Linked DNA regions of Drosophila melanogaster. The protein of the gene in region 3 interacts with the protein of the main gene of each other region in a biochemical or structural test. Each region holds a gene or a part of one and is shown on either strand. Other genes may lie near its edges.

Region 1 (5,468 bases), on a different chromosome or scaffold from region 3:
AGTATTTCATTGTAAAGTAATACGATAATATAGATAGATTTGTATTAGACGTGGAAGGTTTCTCCTTACGCTTCCAATAAATTTTCCCCACATGTTTTGTGCCGGCTAAGATAGCTTATCGCACCAAACTCACGTTTTTAATATTTTTGTTTATTGATAAGAATTTAAAATTGTAGTGAAGAAGGTTTATAAAACGGTTTCACTGCACTTCTCATAATTCCCCCACCTATAACAACGCACTTTTGCATAACTAACCGATGCAGCAGGAGGTTTGCACACTGCCGAGCAACTTTGCTAACTACTATTTTCATTTGTTTCCAGGTCATGCCTGCCGTGGTTATTCGGCAGCGCAAACCGTTCAGGAGGAGGGACGGGGTGTTTATATACTTTGAGGACAATGCCGGGGTAATAGTAAACAACAAGGGCGAAATGAAGGGCTCGGCCATCACTGGACCGGTGGCCAAGGAATGCGCCGATCTGTGGCCCCGTATTGCATCCAATGCAAGCTCTATAGCCTAAGGAGTTTCCTTTTCAATAAACCCACAACGGAAAACAGATTGTTTTGAATTCGAATTGTTGGTTCTTTTATTGAATTGCTGCACTGCTTCGCTACCGGAGGAGGAGAATGAGGATCGTCTCTAGGCCTTGGGTGCCTCCGTACGTAGAGTGGGCTTGGGTCGTGTCACTTCCATCGATACCTTGCCGTTGGCTCCCTTGAACAAGGCGTAGCACACCTGGAACGGAAGACCCTCCAAGGCATCGCCATTGAATTTGGTGATAATATCGCCGCGCTGCAGTTTGCTGTCTATCTCCGGGTATTGTCCTTGAATCTGTCGAGAAAGTAGTTACTTAGGGTTGAGCCTTCCTACCACTGTATACCAGTGGTGTATGTGCACTCACCAAGTCCGCGATGGTACATCCAATTTCGTTGGGAGAAAGCGACAGGCCCAGCTCCTTGCCTGCTTTTTTCATAAGGTCAACGTTAAACTTTTCCAGCTCCGGAGGATCAGCGCGGAAGACCGTTAGGGTGACCGCTTTCTCGTATGTGGTGTGGAATAACTGATGGACCTTCAGTGTCGTCATGGATCCCACGTGGATTGGCGTACCATTTATATCGCAAATGTGGTCAAAGATCTTGAGGCGCTTGTCGGCTGCCACTTGTCCCTCCGGATAAACGTGGGTGATTACACAGCCAGTCTGTCAGGGAAAAGTTGTTTAAGGTACTTCTTGCAGAAACAGAAAGTTCAGATAGCCCACCGTGACATGGTTGTTCTTGCCGCCGCAGACGATGACGCCCATTGGCTTCTTTTCCACCTTCAACTCAATGAGTATCTTTTTGTTCGGCTTGATCTCGGCTGTGGCGGGTTCCTGTGGCTTTTCCTCCTCTTTCTTGGCCTCTGTGAGTTATCGGGATGAAGATGTCAGTTTTGAACTTGCTTGGACGCAATACCTACCCTCCTTCTTTTTCTCTTCCGCCGCCTTCTCAGCCTTTATCGCCTCCTCGCTCTTGAGAGTCAATAGAATCATGGTCACTACGCCCTCGGCACGTTTAAGCAGTCCAGTAGCCTGAAGTGGATATGAAATGGTTTTAAACTAAGTGGTTGGAGGGCTTCCTGACGACTCACATCATCGTAGTTGGATTCCAGTGTTACATCCTGATTAACGGCCAGCAGCATGTCGCCCACTTTCACGCCCGCCAACTCGGCATTCGATCCCTCTCTCAGATCCGAGATGAAAATGCCACTTCCCACCTCAGCGTGCTTGCCATAGATGACCATGATGCCCAGGAAACCCTCCTTGCGCACCTGCACCGTGCGCGCCTTGGGAAACTGGTCGAAGATAAACTTAGTCTGGAATAGAAGGGAAGGACATTTTATCGCAGGATCCATCCGAAAAGAAGTGAAAAGTACGGACCTCATCAGACGCGGTGGGGAACTTCTTGATGGGCTTGACGCACATGCCCTCATCGTTGGGCTTGCGTCGCGAGGTGATCATCACGAGCTTATCCCCATCCACGTTCTTGAACACGGCGGAAGCGTTCAAGTGGCAGCGATTCTTCAGCACATTGCCGTTGACCTCGACGATCTCGTCGCCCGGTTTGATGTCCACGCTACCCAATGCTCCGTTGGGATCCACACCGGCAACAAAGCAGGCCATCTTCTGGCGGTCCTTGTGGCCAGCGAGTGCGAGTCCCAGTGGCTTGCTGGCGTCCCTCTGGACCTCGATCCTGCGCAGATCCTTCATCATGTTGTACCGCTTGTTGATCTTAGCTGGGAATGGCATTCACGTGCTGTGTGACTGACATTTTTTAATGGCTTCAATTGAGTCTTACCCATCGTGTAGCCAAATTCATCTTCCTGCTCCTTGTCGCGATCCTTTTCCTGCTTGTTGAGTTTGCAATTACCGGCGGATGCTCGATCGATCTAAGGTACTTATAAGTTAGTAGAGCGATGGGTGGCGACCTTGGGTTAACCCACCTCATAACCCGCCTCCGTGCGAATGCGACCGGTCATGTCCCGGGTGTCCTCGTCATCCTCGTCGGCGTAGTTACTATGCTTCTGACGCATCGAGGCCGTGAATGTGGTATTCCGCTTCTGCATCGATTGCTGCCGGTTCATGCCAGCCATTCCCTGACCCTGACCCTGACCTTGCCCCATTCCCTGACCTCCGGACGCATTGTTGTTGGTGGTCTGCTCCTGGTTGAACTTGTTCTTGGCCTGCATGTAGCCATTGCTCCGCGGATCTGACTTGGCCTGCTGCTCATCGCTCTTGTCGAAGGTCTGAATCTCCAGTTCGATCTTGAAGTCCGCCTCCTTGATGAGATCGATGACCGCCTGTTCGGTGGAGTTGCGCACATCCTTTCCGTTGAGCGAGAGGATCCGATCGCCAACCTTTAGGCGACCACACAGATGCGCGGGACTGTCGGGCACAATGCCCTTGATGAAGATGCCGGTGGTCTTGGTGTTGGGCGAATCCTTCACCTCGCCGCGCACTATGCAGATGCCGAAGGACTTCTTGCCCGTCTTGTCCAGGGTCACCATGTGAATGAGCTCTGGGAAAGGATTGTGCATTCCAAATGAAATAAAAACTATTTACAACGTATTGTTAAAGTACGACTAAGACAAATGTGAAGCTATTACTAATAAATATTTATTGGGGTCCTTATCCCACTTGGTATCCTTTCGCAAAATAATTTTCACCAATATTGTATAATCGTTTATATAAATGTTAAGGTTAAGTTCATTACATAAACATATTTCTCACAGGATTCTTAAGAATCAATAAAGTCAATTGAATTGGCTTTTGTTCAAATTTTGTTTTATTTGATTCATAAAACACAAAACGAGTATTGAGTGACCTTTGGAAGGTCAAGTTCTTTCGGGACTAGCTGCAAATTTGATTAGCAGTTGGTCATGAAACCACTCAATGGACACTGACCACCCGCGGTGCCCTGTTTGCCCAGGAACTGAACCATCCTCGCTGCTTGAGATCGACTGCTCCGTAATCCTAGCCAAAAACTCGCGACTCACTGACCGGACATTAAGCGCACCGAATTAAGCTCAAATGTAATATCGAATATTTATTGTTATGGGTTTTCACTTAATTATTATTTGTGAATATTCCGCGTTGGCTGCGCCCGATTTGAGTCCATTGAAAAGTGCGCCTAAACTGATTTTACAATTAGCGGGCGAACATTCTTGCTAACTGACTTAGTGGCCATTCTATTTTGAGTATGATTTTCGTATCGATTACACTGGTCAGCAGGGTTGATCTTAGAGTACCAGATGCATGTAGTTCATACATATATGCTAAGACACTTTCACAAACTTTCCTTCTAAAGAATGCTTGAGTAAAAGAAAAATTCTACTAATAATAATGAAAATGTTTCGTATCTTGAGATTACCCATTAAAATATTACCTTGCAGTACAGTGCTATCGATTCGGAGGAGGTGCCTCCAATGAATTGAGTAACTTTCACTGTCTGTTATGACACCACTCACAAAACACCCAGCTCCCCGAAGACGGCCATTATATGGGTTACCATCGCGGATGTGAAGGCTAGGGGAAAATGGATACCCATGTACCTTTATTGGCCCTATCAAGTTATTAATTTGTTGGTACGATTTGGCCCGTGCTGAACTCAACACTCCGCCAGGAGAAGCCCACCAAGTGTTGACCAGCAATGCCCATCGATTTTATATTTTTCTTTCATTGCACTTACAACTGAATAACATATGTCTCACACACTTTTACCTGGGCGAGAGCTTCTATATCGGCACTGCAAATAACAACAATTTGTGGGGGACATTTTTAAAACATATAATATCCTTAATAAAAAAACAATAATAAAATGCGCACAAAATACCGAAGAATAAAGAGTAAATAAATATAAAATGTAAGGTGACAATGATATGATATTGAATATGAACTGTATATATTCAGTATCAATAATATAGCCCCAAAAAGTAGGCAACAATTTCAATGCGAATTGGTAAGGATTGCTGGGGAACTTCTGAACCAGACACAAGCGGTAATCAAATAAAACTTTCAAGATTTTTATCTTTCGAGTGGCAAATAAATTTAATTTGTCTGCCGAGCTTAAATTCATAATCAAGATTTGCATTTTAATGCCTTTGTCGGGGGGAAAGGCGGTATGAAAAAAGGAAACTGGAGGCAGGGAAGGGAGAATATGACTATGCAAACATTTCCCGAACATTGCCCGAACGGAATGAAACGAAAGTGGAATGGCTAAGGCAGCTCCAAAGGAAAACTAGAGTAAACACATGCTCAAAGGAGCTGGGCGCAAAATGGGGTTTAAACTGGAAAATGGCGAACCCAACGGAGAGTGGGAGTGAGAGCGATGGGAGTGGAACGTCAACGACTGCGAAACGATGCTGGAAATTAATTTCATAATAAAAAAGCGTAAGGAAACCCATTTGATAAAACAATTTCCTTTTTGCCTCCCAACAGTCATGTTTTGTTAGTAAAGTAAATTCAAAAGAGAGCACAGCGAAAATATGGCAATGAGCTTAACGCTGCCGCCCCCTTTTCCACCTCTTCCCCCAGCCCCGCCCCGCTCTCTCCTCGTCCCTTGCAGCCTCTGCCGCTGCCGACGTCGCTGTTCGCAAGACCTCGCCCTCCGATTGGCTCTCTGGCCGCAGGCCACGCCCCTGCAATGGCTGCTTTGTGCCGTGTCCTTTTCGGCTGTTCCGCTCTCTGTTTCTCTCTCTCCTTCTCTCTCTCTCTCTCTCTGTCCGCTCCTGCAGAAGTCGTGCTGCTGCGGCGCAGTCGGCGCATGGTTGTTGCGGGGATTTAGTTAACTGAAGTGATTTTCCACTGTTGGCTGTCACACAGGCAAACACACTCACACACATACACCCACTCGTCCTTATGTAAGTGGCCACACGTGTCTGTGTGTGTGTGTGTGTGTGTGTGTGTGCAGGCGAATCCGTTGTTGACTTGTTCTC
Region 2 (5,415 bases), on a different chromosome or scaffold from region 3:
TAATGCAAAGTAAAGTCAGAGTAAATAACCTGGAAGTAAAGCTAAACAAAAATGTGTTATACGCTGAGAGGCGGCTCTCTGGCTCTTTGCGGCTTGGCCTGCTTTTGTGAAATGGCCAAGAGGGAAAAATGGAGGGGAAAATTGTTTGGCGACGCCATGGAAATGATGACGTAAATTGAAAGCCAAAGCTGCCACGGCAACGAAATCTATTTGCAATTCCCTCTGCTCGCCGAAACCCCCTTGTCAATGCCTTTCAACCGACAGGTGTGCAGTTCTGTAGTTCTGGGCAATCTGCGAGTGCATATTTGTCGACTCACTGAGTGCACTTCTGAGATACAGATACGCGTGCCGCTGCAGATACTTAGATACTTTGACTTGGACCTGCTTTAATGGCATTTTTCCCCGACAAAGGTCCTACATTTCCGCTTTAATGCATTTTCCAACCCATTTCATCGCTGCTTTCGGTAGCGTTTTTAGTTGTTTCAGCTTGGATTTCAGCTAACCGCTTTTATTTTGTATTTTGTTTGCCTTGCCAGCCAGCGTGTCCTTCTGTGTCCTGTGTGCACTTTGTGCTCAATTCTGCGTTTTCTATTTCTATTTTTAGCCCTGCACTGAAAGCCAGCTGGCTTGCAGGGGCGGCGCTTAAATGGGGGGTTCTTTCACGGAAAACGTGCCCTGCCAGCAATTGCATAAATTAATCAAAACTGCCACACAGTATAAATACTCAATCGACAATAGTCACACATACACACACACACACACATAGAAGCTTTCGCACATCACCATTTTCCGAAACCCCTTCGCCCACTTTTCCAATTTTATTGCATTGACGTCACAGCTGCAGTTGTCCGGAGCAATGGCTCCGATGATGATTATGTTTGTCTTCTGGCCAGGTAAGCACCTTCTTGACCTTTCCCAAGCTGTTTACACTTATCGCTGGTAAGGGCCCAAAGACGAGAGTTCTTGGCTTTCACTCTTCGGTCCTCCGTTCGATTGACGGGACGTCGTTGAGTGCTTTTTCCTGGGGGACAATTGCGATGGGGGCTAACTGCCGAACTAACTGAATCAGCGTGGATAAGTGCTGATTACCCAGGCATAGAGCAAATGGTTGCATGGCAACTTGTGTAAGATCTATAGGGACTAGTAGTAAGGATGCTTTGGACATGACATTCATTGTTATGAAATGGTTAAAAGCATTAAATTTGACTTTTAAAATGCGCACACATATATTAAGTACCTAGAAATTGACAGAAATTAATCATACAAAGTCTCAAATATTACACAATTGTTTAACACCGATTTACGCTAACAAAGGCACAATTTAATTGTGGTAAATAGTTCCACAAATGTCCGATTTTAAATAATTAAAAAAACATGCAATAAAGAGGCTATAAAATATTATTCACTTTGATATGTGCATAATTAACGTTTAATATTCGTGTGTTTACTCACACATATTTTATTTTCTTTTAGCTGCTTTACATGTGCAGAAATAATTTTAAATCAGAAGGGTATTTTTCTGAAACATTTCTCTTATGGTTTTTTTTTGATATGTATGAGCAGTATTATGTTGTATTTATATTACATTTTTTATTCAGTCTACACAAATATAATGAGATATGGATAAGGAGGTTTCTATAAGCTAGGAACAAATACATATTTGGAAAATTTATGAATGAAATTACGTCTTATGCACTATTGCATAAGTCCAAACTGTCGCCCGTTTGCATCACTCTGTGTCATTTTCTTGCCTTCAACTTTGTGTGTGCACTTTGTTGGCTTCCAAGTTGCTTCTTTTAGGGTCTTCACCTGACCGACCGGGTCAGTTTCTAGACGGGCTTGAAACCGTACGGTCTGAGTCAGCTTTTTCTCTTCACTAGCTATCCAATTCCCTGACATTATCTTTTAATGGCTGCGGCTGCTGTTGCCACACCGGGGGCCACTGTGCTCCCTCCCTCGGTGCCCAGTGCCGCTCCAGGGGCCAAGGCTCCAGCGGCTGGAGCTGGCAAAGGTCCAGGAAATCTACTGGAGATCACTGGCGAAGCAAATATCGTCAACTATATGAAGAATCGTCTAAGGAAGGGTGCGATGAAGCGAAAGGGTCTCGAAATGGTCAATGGTCATCGTTTCGGAGTTAGATTCTTTAAGAATCCAACCTACTGCGGTCATTGCAAGGATTTCATCTGGTGAGAAATTTCGTTTTCGGTTTTTGCTGGCATCTCAGCGTTCCCATCGTTAATTTAATTAGTGCCTTCGTTGCTGACACACTTTTCGTTGTTTTTTCTATATTTTTTTCGCTGTTCTTCCGTTTCGCATTGTTGCATTCGCGGATTCGTGCCGGGATTAGGGGCTTTGGCAAGCAAGGTTTTCAGTGCGAGGGTAGGTAGAAATGTTCACAATTTAAAAAATCTTTTAAAATATTTGCATACGCAGAATGCCGCTTCAACATTCACCAGAAGTGCTGTAAATTTGTGGTGTTCAAATGTCCTGGCAAGGACACGGACTTCGATGCCGACTGCGCTAAGGTGAAGCACGGCTGGATTTCCACCACCTACACCACACCGACATTCTGCGACGAGTGCGGACTGCTGCTCCATGGAGTCGCCCATCAGGGCGTCAAGTGCGAGAGTAAATTCCTGAATAAACTCGAGTCCTATTGCTTTCAAGCTATTAACCCAAATATTTCAGATTGCAACCTAAATGTGCATCACGCCTGCCAGGAGACAGTGCCACCGATGTGTGGTGCGGACATCAGCGAGGTGAGGGGTAAACTACTGCTATACGTCGAGCTTAAGGGCAATAACTTGAAAGTTGATAGTAAGTTATTACTTAAAGTTTATATGCCCATATAAAGATTAATGTTTCTTTCATACTGCAGTTAAGGAGGCAGCTAACCTCATTCCCATGGATACCAACGGGTTTAGCGATCCCTATATTGCAGTGCAAATGCATCCGGACCGTTCGGGGCGCACCAAAAAGAAGACCAAGACCATTCAGAAAAACCTCAATCCAGTGTTCAACGAGACTTTTACTTTGTAATAGTTGAAAACTAATCCTCTAAATAGACCTCTTTACCATATTTTCTTTAATCCTAGTGAGTTGCAGCCGCAGGACCGTGACAAGCGTTTGCTCATCGAGGTTTGGGATTGGGATCGAACTTCTCGCAATGATTTCATGGGATCGTTCTCGTTCAGCCTGGAGGAACTGCAAAAGGAGCCAGTTGATGGCTGGTATAAGTTTCTGTCGCAAGTGGAGGGTGAACATTATAACATACCCTGTGTGGATGCCTTTAATGATATAGCTCGCTTAAGGGATGAAGTTAGGGTAAGCGGATGTCCTCACCAAGTTTGCCACATATTTAATATTCCTGATTTTCAGCACGATCGTCGTCCGAATGAAAAGCGTCGCATGGACAACAAGGATATGCCGCATAATATGAGCAAACGCGATATGATTCGAGCTGCTGATTTCAACTTTGTTAAAGTTATTGGCAAGGGATCCTTTGGCAAAGTCCTGCTGGCCGAGCGTCGTGGCACGGATGAGCTGTATGCCGTGAAGGTCCTGCGAAAGGATGTCATTATCCAAACGGACGATATGGAGCTGCCAATGAATGAGAAGAAAATTCTAGCCCTATCCGGACGTCCTCCTTTCCTCGTCTCCATGCACTCATGTTTCCAGACTATGGACCGATTATTCTTCGTAATGGAGTACTGTAAGGGTGGAGATCTTATGTACCATATGCAGCAGTATGGAAGGTTCAAGGAGTCTGTGGCTATGTGAGTACAAATATTTATATTCAAGTACCATATTTTGAAATCTTCTATATATTATGTGCTTAGTTTTTACGCTGTGGAAGTGGCTATTGCTCTGTTTTTCCTCCACGAGCGTGATATTATCTATAGAGATCTAAAGCTGGACAACATTTTGCTGGATGGTGAGGGGCATGTAAAGCTGGTCGACTTTGGATTGAGCAAAGAGGGCGTTACCGAGCGGCAGACCACACGAACCTTTTGTGGTACTCCAAATTATATGGCTCCCGAAGTAAGTAAATCAGCCGAAAAAAATAAGTGTAAAAATAATCAGCTTAAAAATAATTTAAGATTGTTAGCTACGATCCGTATTCCATCGCCGCTGATTGGTGGTCTTTTGGTGTATTGCTTTTCGAATTCATGGCAGGTCAGGCTCCATTCGAAGGAGATGATGAAACTACTGTCTTTAGGAACATAAAGGACAAGAAGGCGGTGTTTCCAAAGCATTTCAGCGTGGAGGCCATGGATATAATAACGAGCGTAAGTGTTGGATTTCAAAAACATATGAATCTAATGGTATAGATTTGTATTCCAAAGTTCCTGACCAAAAAGCCCAACAATAGATTGGGTGCAGGCCGCTATGCCAGACAGGAGATTACCACGCATCCTTTCTTCCGGAATGTGGACTGGGATAAGGCAGAGGCATGCGAAATGGAGCCACCTATTAAGCCAATGATTGTAAGCTAAAACAGGAGCCCCACTAGGAAATCATTTTATTGTAATCTTGGGTACATTTCAGAAACATCGCAAGGATATAAGCAACTTTGATGATGCCTTTACCAAGGAGAAGACGGACTTAACTCCAACGGACAAGCTTTTTATGATGAATTTGGACCAGAACGATTTTATCGGATTTTCTTTCATGAATCCCGAGTTTATAACCATCATTTAAAATGGTCTAAAAAAAAGCTTTGAGAAAAGTTTATAGGCTTCTTCGAAAAACTAGGCTTTTGCAAGTTAATTTACCGAAATTTATTTATTGTATCCTTCGCTAAAAGCCATCTAAATGTTCATTAAAGCTTTAACGCTTAAAGCTCTGATATTTAGTGGGTGGATTTTTCTTTTGGCTTTCTCTCTTTTAAGAGACAGCTTTTCACCACTAACATTAACATTTCCTCTGAAGCCCAGATAGTAAAAGAAAACAGAGAAAGTTCCGGACCAGCAGCTGATTGCTTTCTCTTTCTCTCTTTTCGGAAGGGGAAATCCTTTTGTGGAAACTCACCACTCGAGAGCACCTGAATTAGTTACGCATACGCCGCGTGTGCTCCACTCAAGGAAACCCTGACAGGAAGTTTCAAGATTGCCAGTGGGCTAACTAGCCAACTTTGGTTAAAATCTAAACTCATCAACAGGCTTGAAAGTTTTTAGTTATGTATGTCGAATTTCAAAGTTGCTCACAAGGCCACAACTTATTGCCGTTCATGTGGGTATGATGAAAATTCTTCGAACATTTTTGCCCAAATCCATCTTGCGGGTCGAGCGTAAAATTCAACGGGGTGAAAAGCGGTTTAACGGGTCGCCAAATAGTTTTCCTGTGCCAGGGCAAATATGTCTTATGACACATTTTAATATGAAATTTCACTACCGGGAATTCCCCGGATATTTT
Region 3 (7,845 bases):
CATCCAGATTACATAGGAGCAAAAAGACAAAAAATAAACAACGCAGAGGCTTGTACAGCAATATAAAAAACGTAAACTTATCAGTGTTCAATGATTTGCGAATCAGTTAAAAATACAATAAATTTAATGTTAAATACTACTCATCGGATGCAATTCATAAAATCATTTTCTACGTGGGTACATTCAATTTGTTTAAACACATAAGTATCTTATCGGTGCCATAAAGCAAATCAGCATTGATACTATAGATTTTTACGATCATGTTGAGGGCTTAGAGATATAATTTTAATACAGATGGCCATAAAATGAATTTTATCCCGCAATCTTGACGGTTTCCGGTGGGGAGACAGTGAAAGTGCAACCTGCTACGCAAACCCAGGGAAAATGAGCTCTTTCGCTTTTCTCGTGGAGAACTGAGCACATAACTCACAAGGGTCCTTAAAAGCTAAATAAGGCAGGAGTTTTGTTGGAGGCCAATGAATCATTGAGTGCAACCCAGTTGTACACTGCAGAAAATCATGTATAAACCCAACATAGCATTTAGTTAATGGGAACTTATAAGAAGAATGTGCATTTAGCCACATTTGTGTAATGAGGAGTACCTTTATATAATTACGAGAATGCCATCCAGGTATTTTCAGCTATGGCCTCTAATTAATTCGCACTTAATGAGTTCCCCTCGACAGCTGTGACTTTAATTTTGAAATTCCTTGGGCCACCATCACTTCCTTCCTCTTCTCTTGGAAGCCATGCGAGTGGAGTGTGGAGTGCATTGGCCCCGCTAAAAACCCCGTACGACTTGAACACGTACGATGCCATTCCGCCCGGAGCTCCATTGAACCCCACCTTTCGAACACACACATTCATCTCAAAGGGCTGCTCCGTGAAAGTGGGCTTGTTCCTTTTCCTTTTCTCCGCCTTTAGCCAGGAGCTGGCATTTAGTTCCAAGTGCATTGACACACAAAAGCCCTGCGAGCGCCCTGAAGTAAGCAACATTCAACATTCAAGGCTCAAGACGCTCGGCTGCCAAGGACGAGTTGGGTCTTAGATGTACACCACCCCACCTCCCCCTCCCACTTCCCATGCAGATTAATCAATATTCATCAATCACAAAGTCAGAATCACTGACCCAGTGCCCAAAAGGCATTCGAAATCATTTCAATTCGGTAGATACTCGACTGTAAACTGCAGGTGTGGTGTGTTTTCCGGCTCTGTTGGTTAGCCAAAAGCTTAAAAGCTTGCATTTTCTCCTATTTTTAAGGGCTTTTCTCGGTGAATAGTTCTAGGATATGAACCCAAGTCCATGAATCCCTATTTACTCGCAAATTAACACCCTCATGCTACTTTTTGAATATTAAGTAGCTTTGAATTTCGGCTTGAATAGGTGTCAAAAAGTATGCAAAGTGCGTATTTTTTTTTTGGGCATTGATCTATATTGCTGGGTACAAAATATTAGACACCTATTTAATTTCATATCTCAACTGTATGCATCATTTCATCGAAATATAAGCAGATAATATTGTTCCATTTAGCACGTTTTGTTTTTCACTTACATATAAACCCACTGGGCAGTATTGATTTGGATTTTCAGGCATAAAAGTGGTGCGATTCCGTTGCTGGGGCTTCGAAAATCGAAAGTCGCTCATCACGTGCAATGCAACCACAAATGGACGAAAGATTCCTGAACTGAAATCGCTAAAATCGGTTGCTGCCTCCAAATGCAGCCCCACAATTACCGAAGTGCGGTCAAATGGGCCCATTGACTCGGGGTTCGCCCACACATTGACCGAGTTTTAGCCACATTGGGCACTAATGTAATTAGTGGAATATAGCGACCCGTGGCTGCCACTTTTCAGCAGTGCAACGCGGCTAATTGGAGGCGGAACATCGCCACGATGGAACACTAAAGGATACAGTGCGCGAAAGGATTACGCCAAGGCTCCCCGAGGAGCAGGGATAAATGCCCATAGTGTTTGTGAGATGTGAAGTGACCGAGTGATCCGATCCTGATAATCGCGTTCGCATAGACCAGTAAATCAGTGCAGATATGGGCAGCAATACGGAATCCGATGCCGAGAAGGCGTTGGGGTCTCGCCTGGATTACGACCTGATGATGGCCGAGGAGTACATCCTCAGCGATGTGGAGAAGAATTTCATATTGTCCTGCGAGCGGGGTGACTTGCCAGGTGTCAAGAAGTGAGGCTTCCTCCCTATGGCTTCGAGTAACTCGGCTAATATGATTTCGTCCTTGAAGGATCCTCGAGGAGTACCAGGGCACGGACAAGTTCAACATTAACTGCACGGATCCCATGAACCGCTCCGCCCTCATTTCGGCCATCGAGAACGAGAACTTCGACCTGATGGTGATCCTGCTGGAGCATAACATCGAGGTGGGCGACGCCCTGTTGCACGCCATCTCGGAGGAGTATGTGGAGGCGGTGGAGGAGCTGCTGCAGTGGGAGGAGACCAACCACAAGGAGGGCCAGCCATACGTAGGTCACATCCTGCCGCAGAATATGCCACAACTCTTACTCTTTTCCCCTCCTTTGGCAGAGCTGGGAGGCGGTGGACCGCTCCAAGTCCACCTTCACCGTGGACATCACGCCCCTTATCCTGGCCGCCCACCGAAATAACTACGAGATACTCAAAATCCTCCTGGATCGCGGGGCCACGCTGCCCATGCCGCACGACGTCAAGTGAGTGGGGTGGTGTAGGGATGCAGTTGCTCGGTGATATGGCTATGTAGTGAGCTTCCTCGTCCTTCGAGCGGCACGTTCCATTGTTTGTCCAATTGGCAACACACTTATGTAGCACATCGCTGGGTGCCTCTAATTTTAGATAATTGCGGGCAAATTAGGGTGAAATATTAATACAGGGTGTAATGTTGTGTGTGGGAAGAGCAGGTCCTTGAATGTTCTTAAATTGGGTCAATGGACTCAAGCCTTTAACAGCGTCATAAATGTCCTTGCTAGGAGAGAAGGTCCTTTGTACTCCTTTCAGATTGATTTAAATGTATTTATTATTATAGAACTCTTGGGTTCCGTACACTTTGTATATCATCGCTTAATCTCAATTGTTTCTAGGTGCGGCTGCGATGAGTGTGTGACCTCCCAGATGACGGACTCCCTGCGCCACTCGCAGTCGAGGATCAACGCATACCGCGCCCTGTCCGCCAGCTCGCTGATAGCGCTCAGCTCCCGGGACCCTGTACTGACCGCCTTCCAATTGTCCTGGGAACTCAAGCGCCTGCAGGCGATGGAATCGGAGTTTCGTGCCGAATACACGGTACGGTAGTAGTGTGCAATGTAAGCGGTGGCCAGTGTGCCACTAGAGTCTATGCGAATGCGAATGCGAGCCTTTGTTTGTGTTTGCCCAACAGGAGATGCGTCAGATGGTGCAGGACTTCGGGACCTCGCTCCTGGATCACGCACGCACATCCATGGAACTCGAGGTGATGCTCAACTTCAACCACGAGCCGTCCCACGACATCTGGTGCCTTGGCCAGCGGCAAACCCTGGAACGACTGAAGCTGGCCATTCGCTATAAGCAAAAAACGGTGGGTTCGGACTAATCCGTGCACATTAAGGAACTGTGAAGGTTACAAGCTTGTGGCTAGATACCCATGCCTAATCCACCACAGACCAACTGGGATTTAATAGCTTTATATATAGAAACGGATCTTAGTACCCTGCTTGAATTTATAAACATTACTCCCCCTTCTAGTTTGTGGCACATCCAAATGTCCAACAATTGTTGGCCGCCATTTGGTACGACGGACTGCCGGGCTTCCGGCGCAAGCAGGCCTCCCAGCAGCTGATGGATGTCGTGAAGCTGGGATGCAGCTTCCCCATCTACAGCTTGAAGTACATCCTGGCCCCGGATTCCGAGGGTGCCAAGTTCATGCGCAAGCCCTTTGTCAAGTTCATCACGCACTCCTGCTCCTACATGTTCTTCCTGAGTGGGTAAAGTGGGTGCTTAACACTTCATCCATCTAAATATGCGCCCATTCACAGTGCTCCTGGGTGCTGCCTCCCTGAGGGTGGTGCAAATCACCTTTGAACTCCTCGCATTTCCCTGGATGCTGACCATGCTGGAGGATTGGCGCAAACACGAGAGAGGTTCACTACCGGGTCCCATTGAACTGGCAATCATTACCTACATAATGGCTCTAATATTTGAGGAACTGAAATCTTTATATTCGGACGGCTTGTTTGAGTACATCATGGATCTTTGGAACATAGTGGACTACATATCGAACATGTTCTATGTGACGTGGATTCTTTGTAGGGCCACCGCTTGGGTAATCGTCCATGTGAGTCCATATGAATCTAATGAATAAATTGGAGTTACTGAAACGAATTGATTTCAGCGTGATCTCTGGTTCCGGGGCATAGATCCTTACTTCCCAAGGGAACACTGGCATCCGTTTGATCCAATGCTTCTATCAGAGGGCGCCTTTGCTGCCGGAATGGTCTTCTCCTATCTAAAGCTCGTCCACATCTTCTCCATTAATCCCCACCTGGGACCCTTGCAAGTTTCACTGGGTCGCATGATAATCGACATCATCAAGTTCTTCTTCATCTACACACTGGTGTTGTTTGCCTTCGGATGTGGTCTCAACCAGTTGCTATGGTACTACGCTGAGCTGGAGAAGAACAAGTGCTATCACCTGCATCCCGATGTGGCTGACTTTGATGACCAGGAGAAGGCTTGTACCATCTGGCGAAGATTTTCCAAGTATATTACATTCATTTCTATGTACTTTATCATATTGGCATCCCATTTCAATTTACTTTAGCTTATTCGAAACATCACAATCGCTCTTTTGGGCCTCTTTTGGCCTGGTGGACCTGGTCTCCTTCGATCTGGCGGGAATCAAGAGCTTCACCCGCTTCTGGGCACTGCTAATGTTCGGCTCCTATTCGGTTATCAACATCATTGTGCTTCTCAACATGCTGATTGCCATGATGTCCAACTCCTACCAAATCATCTCGGAGCGAGCCGACACTGAGTGGAAGTTCGCCCGATCCCAGCTGTGGATGAGCTACTTCGAGGATGGCGGCACCATTCCACCGCCCTTCAACCTCTGTCCCAACATGAAGATGTTGAGGAAGACCCTGGGCCGAAAGCGACCGTCACGAACCAAGAGCTTCATGGTAAGTTACACTCAGAGAAATTCAATATTTCAGTTTAAGTATTATACAAATCCACACATATATATTAAATTCAGTGTACTCTACTTTTAAATGATATTTCTTATCATATTACTTTTAAATGTAAGTAACATTTCGAAAGTTCGATTTTTTCAAGTTGAATCACCTCACAGTGAGAGGCGGCTCACAATCAATACAAATCTTAAGCGAAATCATTTTCAATCAAGCCCATGCAGAGCTATCTGTGCGTCAAATTGACGTCTAATACATCCTTTCTGTGTCCTTCCACCCTCTAATGCTCCCTGTTCCAACTCCCAGCGAAAGTCCATGGAACGGGCACAGACGCTGCATGACAAAGTGATGAAGCTGCTGGTCAGGAGGTACATTACGGCGGAGCAGAGGCGGCGGGACGATTACGGCATTACCGAGGATGATATCATTGAGGTGCGCCAGGACATCAGCTCCTTGCGGTTCGAGTTGCTGGAGATTTTCACCAACAATAACTGGGATGTACCCGACATTGAGAAGAAGTCGCAGGGTAAGGGAAGCCTACCCACATCCAAATTGGCAACTTACACGTGTCTTAAGATAGAAGTAGCAGTATATATGAATAATTATTTACAATTAGCTTTTGAATACCTAATAAAGTTCACCCCATCTTGAATATTAATTTGAAATATGTTGTGCTAGAAGACTACAAAGCTAGAATGGATTTTAATGGATTTTATTCACTAAACTTACTTTTGAAGGAGTTGCTCGAACCACCAAGGGCAAGGTGATGGAACGTCGCATCCTTAAGGACTTCCAAATCGGCTTCGTCGAGAATCTGAAGCAGGAAATGAGCGAATCTGAGAGCGGACGAGATATATTCTCATCGCTGGCCAAGGTCATCGGCAGAAAGAAGACCCAGAAGGGGTAGGTCCACTTAAATCTGTAAGACGCTTTGAATAATGGTTATTATTCTCAACAGAGACAAGGATTGGAACGCCATTGCGAGGAAGAATACTTTCGCCTCCGATCCCATTGGCTCCAAGCGCTCCTCCATGCAACGTCATAGCCAGCGAAGCTTGAGGAGGAAGATCATCGAGCAGGCGAATGAGGGTCTTCAGATGAACCAGACCCAGTTGATTGGTAAATTAATAAAGATGTGCCCAATGTATGTATATTTCCATACCCTTGATCTCCTCCAGAATTCAATCCCAACTTGGGTGATGTGACGCGTGCCACAAGAGTGGCTTATGTCAAGTTCATGCGGAAGAAGATGGCTGCCGACGAGGTTTCCTTGGCCGATGACGAGGGTGCTCCAAATGGCGAAGGCGAAAAGAAGCCACTGGATGCCTCTGGGGTACGTTCCAATCAATATATGTATATGTATTCCCTGGCTAATATATAATCTCACTTGCAGTCTAAAAAGTCCATAACTAGTGGTGGAACTGGAGGAGGAGCTTCTATGTTGGCTGCAGCTGCTCTAAGAGCATCGGTTAAGAATGTGGATGAAAAATCCGGAGCCGATGGCAAGCCCGGCACGATGGGCAAGCCAACGGATGACAAGAAAGCAGGTGATGATAAGGATAAGCAGCAGCCTCCCAAGGACTCCAAGCCGTCAGCAGGTGGTCCCAAGCCCGGGGATCAGAAGCCAACTCCGGGTGCGGGAGCTCCAAAGCCCCAAGCAGCTGGCACTATCAGCAAGCCCGGTGAGTCACAAAAGAAGGACGCTCCGGCACCACCAACCAAACCTGGAGACACCAAGCCTGCTGCGCCGAAGCCTGGAGAATCCGCCAAGCCCGAGGCCGCTGCCAAAAAGGAGGAGTCTTCCAAGACCGAAGCTAGCAAGCCGGCAGCCACAAATGGAGCAGCCAAGAGCGCAGCTCCCTCCGCTCCTTCGGATGCCAAGCCGGATTCCAAACTGAAACCTGGAGCAGCTGGAGCACCAGAAGCAACTAAGGCAACCAATGGGGCCTCCAAGCCGGACGAAAAGAAGAGCGGTCCGGAGGAGCCAAAAAAGGCTGCAGGAGACTCCAAGCCAGGAGACGATGCCAAGGACAAGGATAAGAAACCCGGCGACGATAAGGACAAGAAACCTGGCGACGACAAAGACAAGAAACCTGCTGACAATAATGATAAGAAGCCAGCCGATGACAAGGACAAGAAGCCGGGAGACGATAAGGACAAGAAGCCGGGTGACGACAAGGACAAGAAGCCGAGCGATGATAAGGACAAGAAGCCTGCCGATGACAAGGACAAGAAGCCAGCAGCAGCTCCTCTGAAGCCGGCGATCAAGGTGGGTCAGAGCAGTGCCGCAGCTGGCGGAGAACGAGGCAAATCCACGGTCACAGGACGCATGATCTCCGGCTGGCTCTAAGCCGCGGAATCCACTTTCATAGCAATTAAATAGTTAAGTCCTTTGTTTGTGTGAATAATAAAAAAAAAGAATCTCAAGTACCACGTTTCTGCAACTTGTTGCTAAAGGCCACCTGTTGCCAGCAACATCTCATTTGCATCGCAGCAACATTCATCATCCGCCCCGTTGTTCCGATGGCAATTTGTTTGTCTGCCATCCATCCGCCTGCTTTTCTGGCCTATAAAAGAACGTGAACTTCGACCAGAGGAATCAGAAGAACCGTGACCGTTCCGAGGATAACATCAGACCGAAAAACATATTCGCCAAGCCAGTGTTTCGTCCTAAATAGTC

Evidence for each region.
Region 1: the proteins of trp (region 3) and inaD form a complex in vitro, tested with the Drosophila melanogaster proteins (4 studies listed by BioGRID, with this or other methods).
Region 2: of the proteins of trp (region 3) and inaC, one has a biochemical effect on the other in vitro, tested with the Drosophila melanogaster proteins (2 studies listed by BioGRID).

What each region holds. Positions count from the first base shown.
Region 1 is NT_033778.4:22,855,124-22,860,591, forward strand, and holds inaD (inactivation no afterpotential D), read right to left. Parts: upstream 3,672-5,468; 5' UTR 3,476-3,671; coding exon 3,439-3,475; intron 3,089-3,438; coding exon 2,478-3,088; intron 2,424-2,477; coding exon 2,333-2,423; intron 2,271-2,332; coding exon 1,915-2,270; intron 1,851-1,914; coding exon 1,626-1,850; intron 1,567-1,625; coding exon 1,455-1,566; intron 1,398-1,454; coding exon 1,258-1,397; intron 1,198-1,257; coding exon 901-1,197; intron 831-900; coding exon 639-830; 3' UTR 565-638; downstream 1-564. Other genes in the region: RpL23 (ribosomal protein L23), read left to right, coding at 322-519. UniProt on the Drosophila melanogaster protein: Involved in the negative feedback regulation of the light-activated signaling cascade in photoreceptors through a calcium-mediated process.
Region 2 is NT_033778.4:16,896,737-16,902,151, forward strand, and holds inaC (inactivation no afterpotential C), read left to right. Parts: upstream 1-1,798; 5' UTR 1,799-1,908; coding exon 1,909-2,186; intron 2,187-2,347; coding exon 2,348-2,379; intron 2,380-2,433; coding exon 2,434-2,628; intron 2,629-2,688; coding exon 2,689-2,817; intron 2,818-2,878; coding exon 2,879-3,035; intron 3,036-3,095; coding exon 3,096-3,324; intron 3,325-3,378; coding exon 3,379-3,776; intron 3,777-3,839; coding exon 3,840-4,041; intron 4,042-4,100; coding exon 4,101-4,289; intron 4,290-4,346; coding exon 4,347-4,487; intron 4,488-4,548; coding exon 4,549-4,701; 3' UTR 4,702-4,839; downstream 4,840-5,415. UniProt on the Drosophila melanogaster protein: This is a calcium-activated, phospholipid-dependent, serine- and threonine-specific enzyme. This isozyme is a negative regulator of the visual transduction cascade and has been shown to be required for photoreceptor cell inactivation and light adaptation.
Region 3 is NT_033777.3:29,914,266-29,922,110, reverse strand, and holds trp (transient receptor potential), read left to right. Parts: upstream 1-1,821; 5' UTR 1,822-2,047; coding exon 2,048-2,196; intron 2,197-2,254; coding exon 2,255-2,492; intron 2,493-2,553; coding exon 2,554-2,696; intron 2,697-3,083; coding exon 3,084-3,285; coding exon of another isoform or gene 3,286-3,294; exon of another isoform or gene 3,295-3,305; intron 3,306-3,379; coding exon 3,380-3,556; intron 3,557-3,723; coding exon 3,724-3,958; intron 3,959-4,013; coding exon 4,014-4,312; intron 4,313-4,369; coding exon 4,370-4,737; intron 4,738-4,798; coding exon 4,799-5,156; intron 5,157-5,471; coding exon 5,472-5,691; intron 5,692-5,902; coding exon 5,903-6,068; intron 6,069-6,123; coding exon 6,124-6,284; intron 6,285-6,343; coding exon 6,344-6,498; intron 6,499-6,558; coding exon 6,559-7,515; 3' UTR 7,516-7,590; downstream 7,591-7,845. UniProt on the Drosophila melanogaster protein: A light-sensitive calcium channel that is required for inositide-mediated Ca(2+) entry in the retina during phospholipase C (PLC)-mediated phototransduction.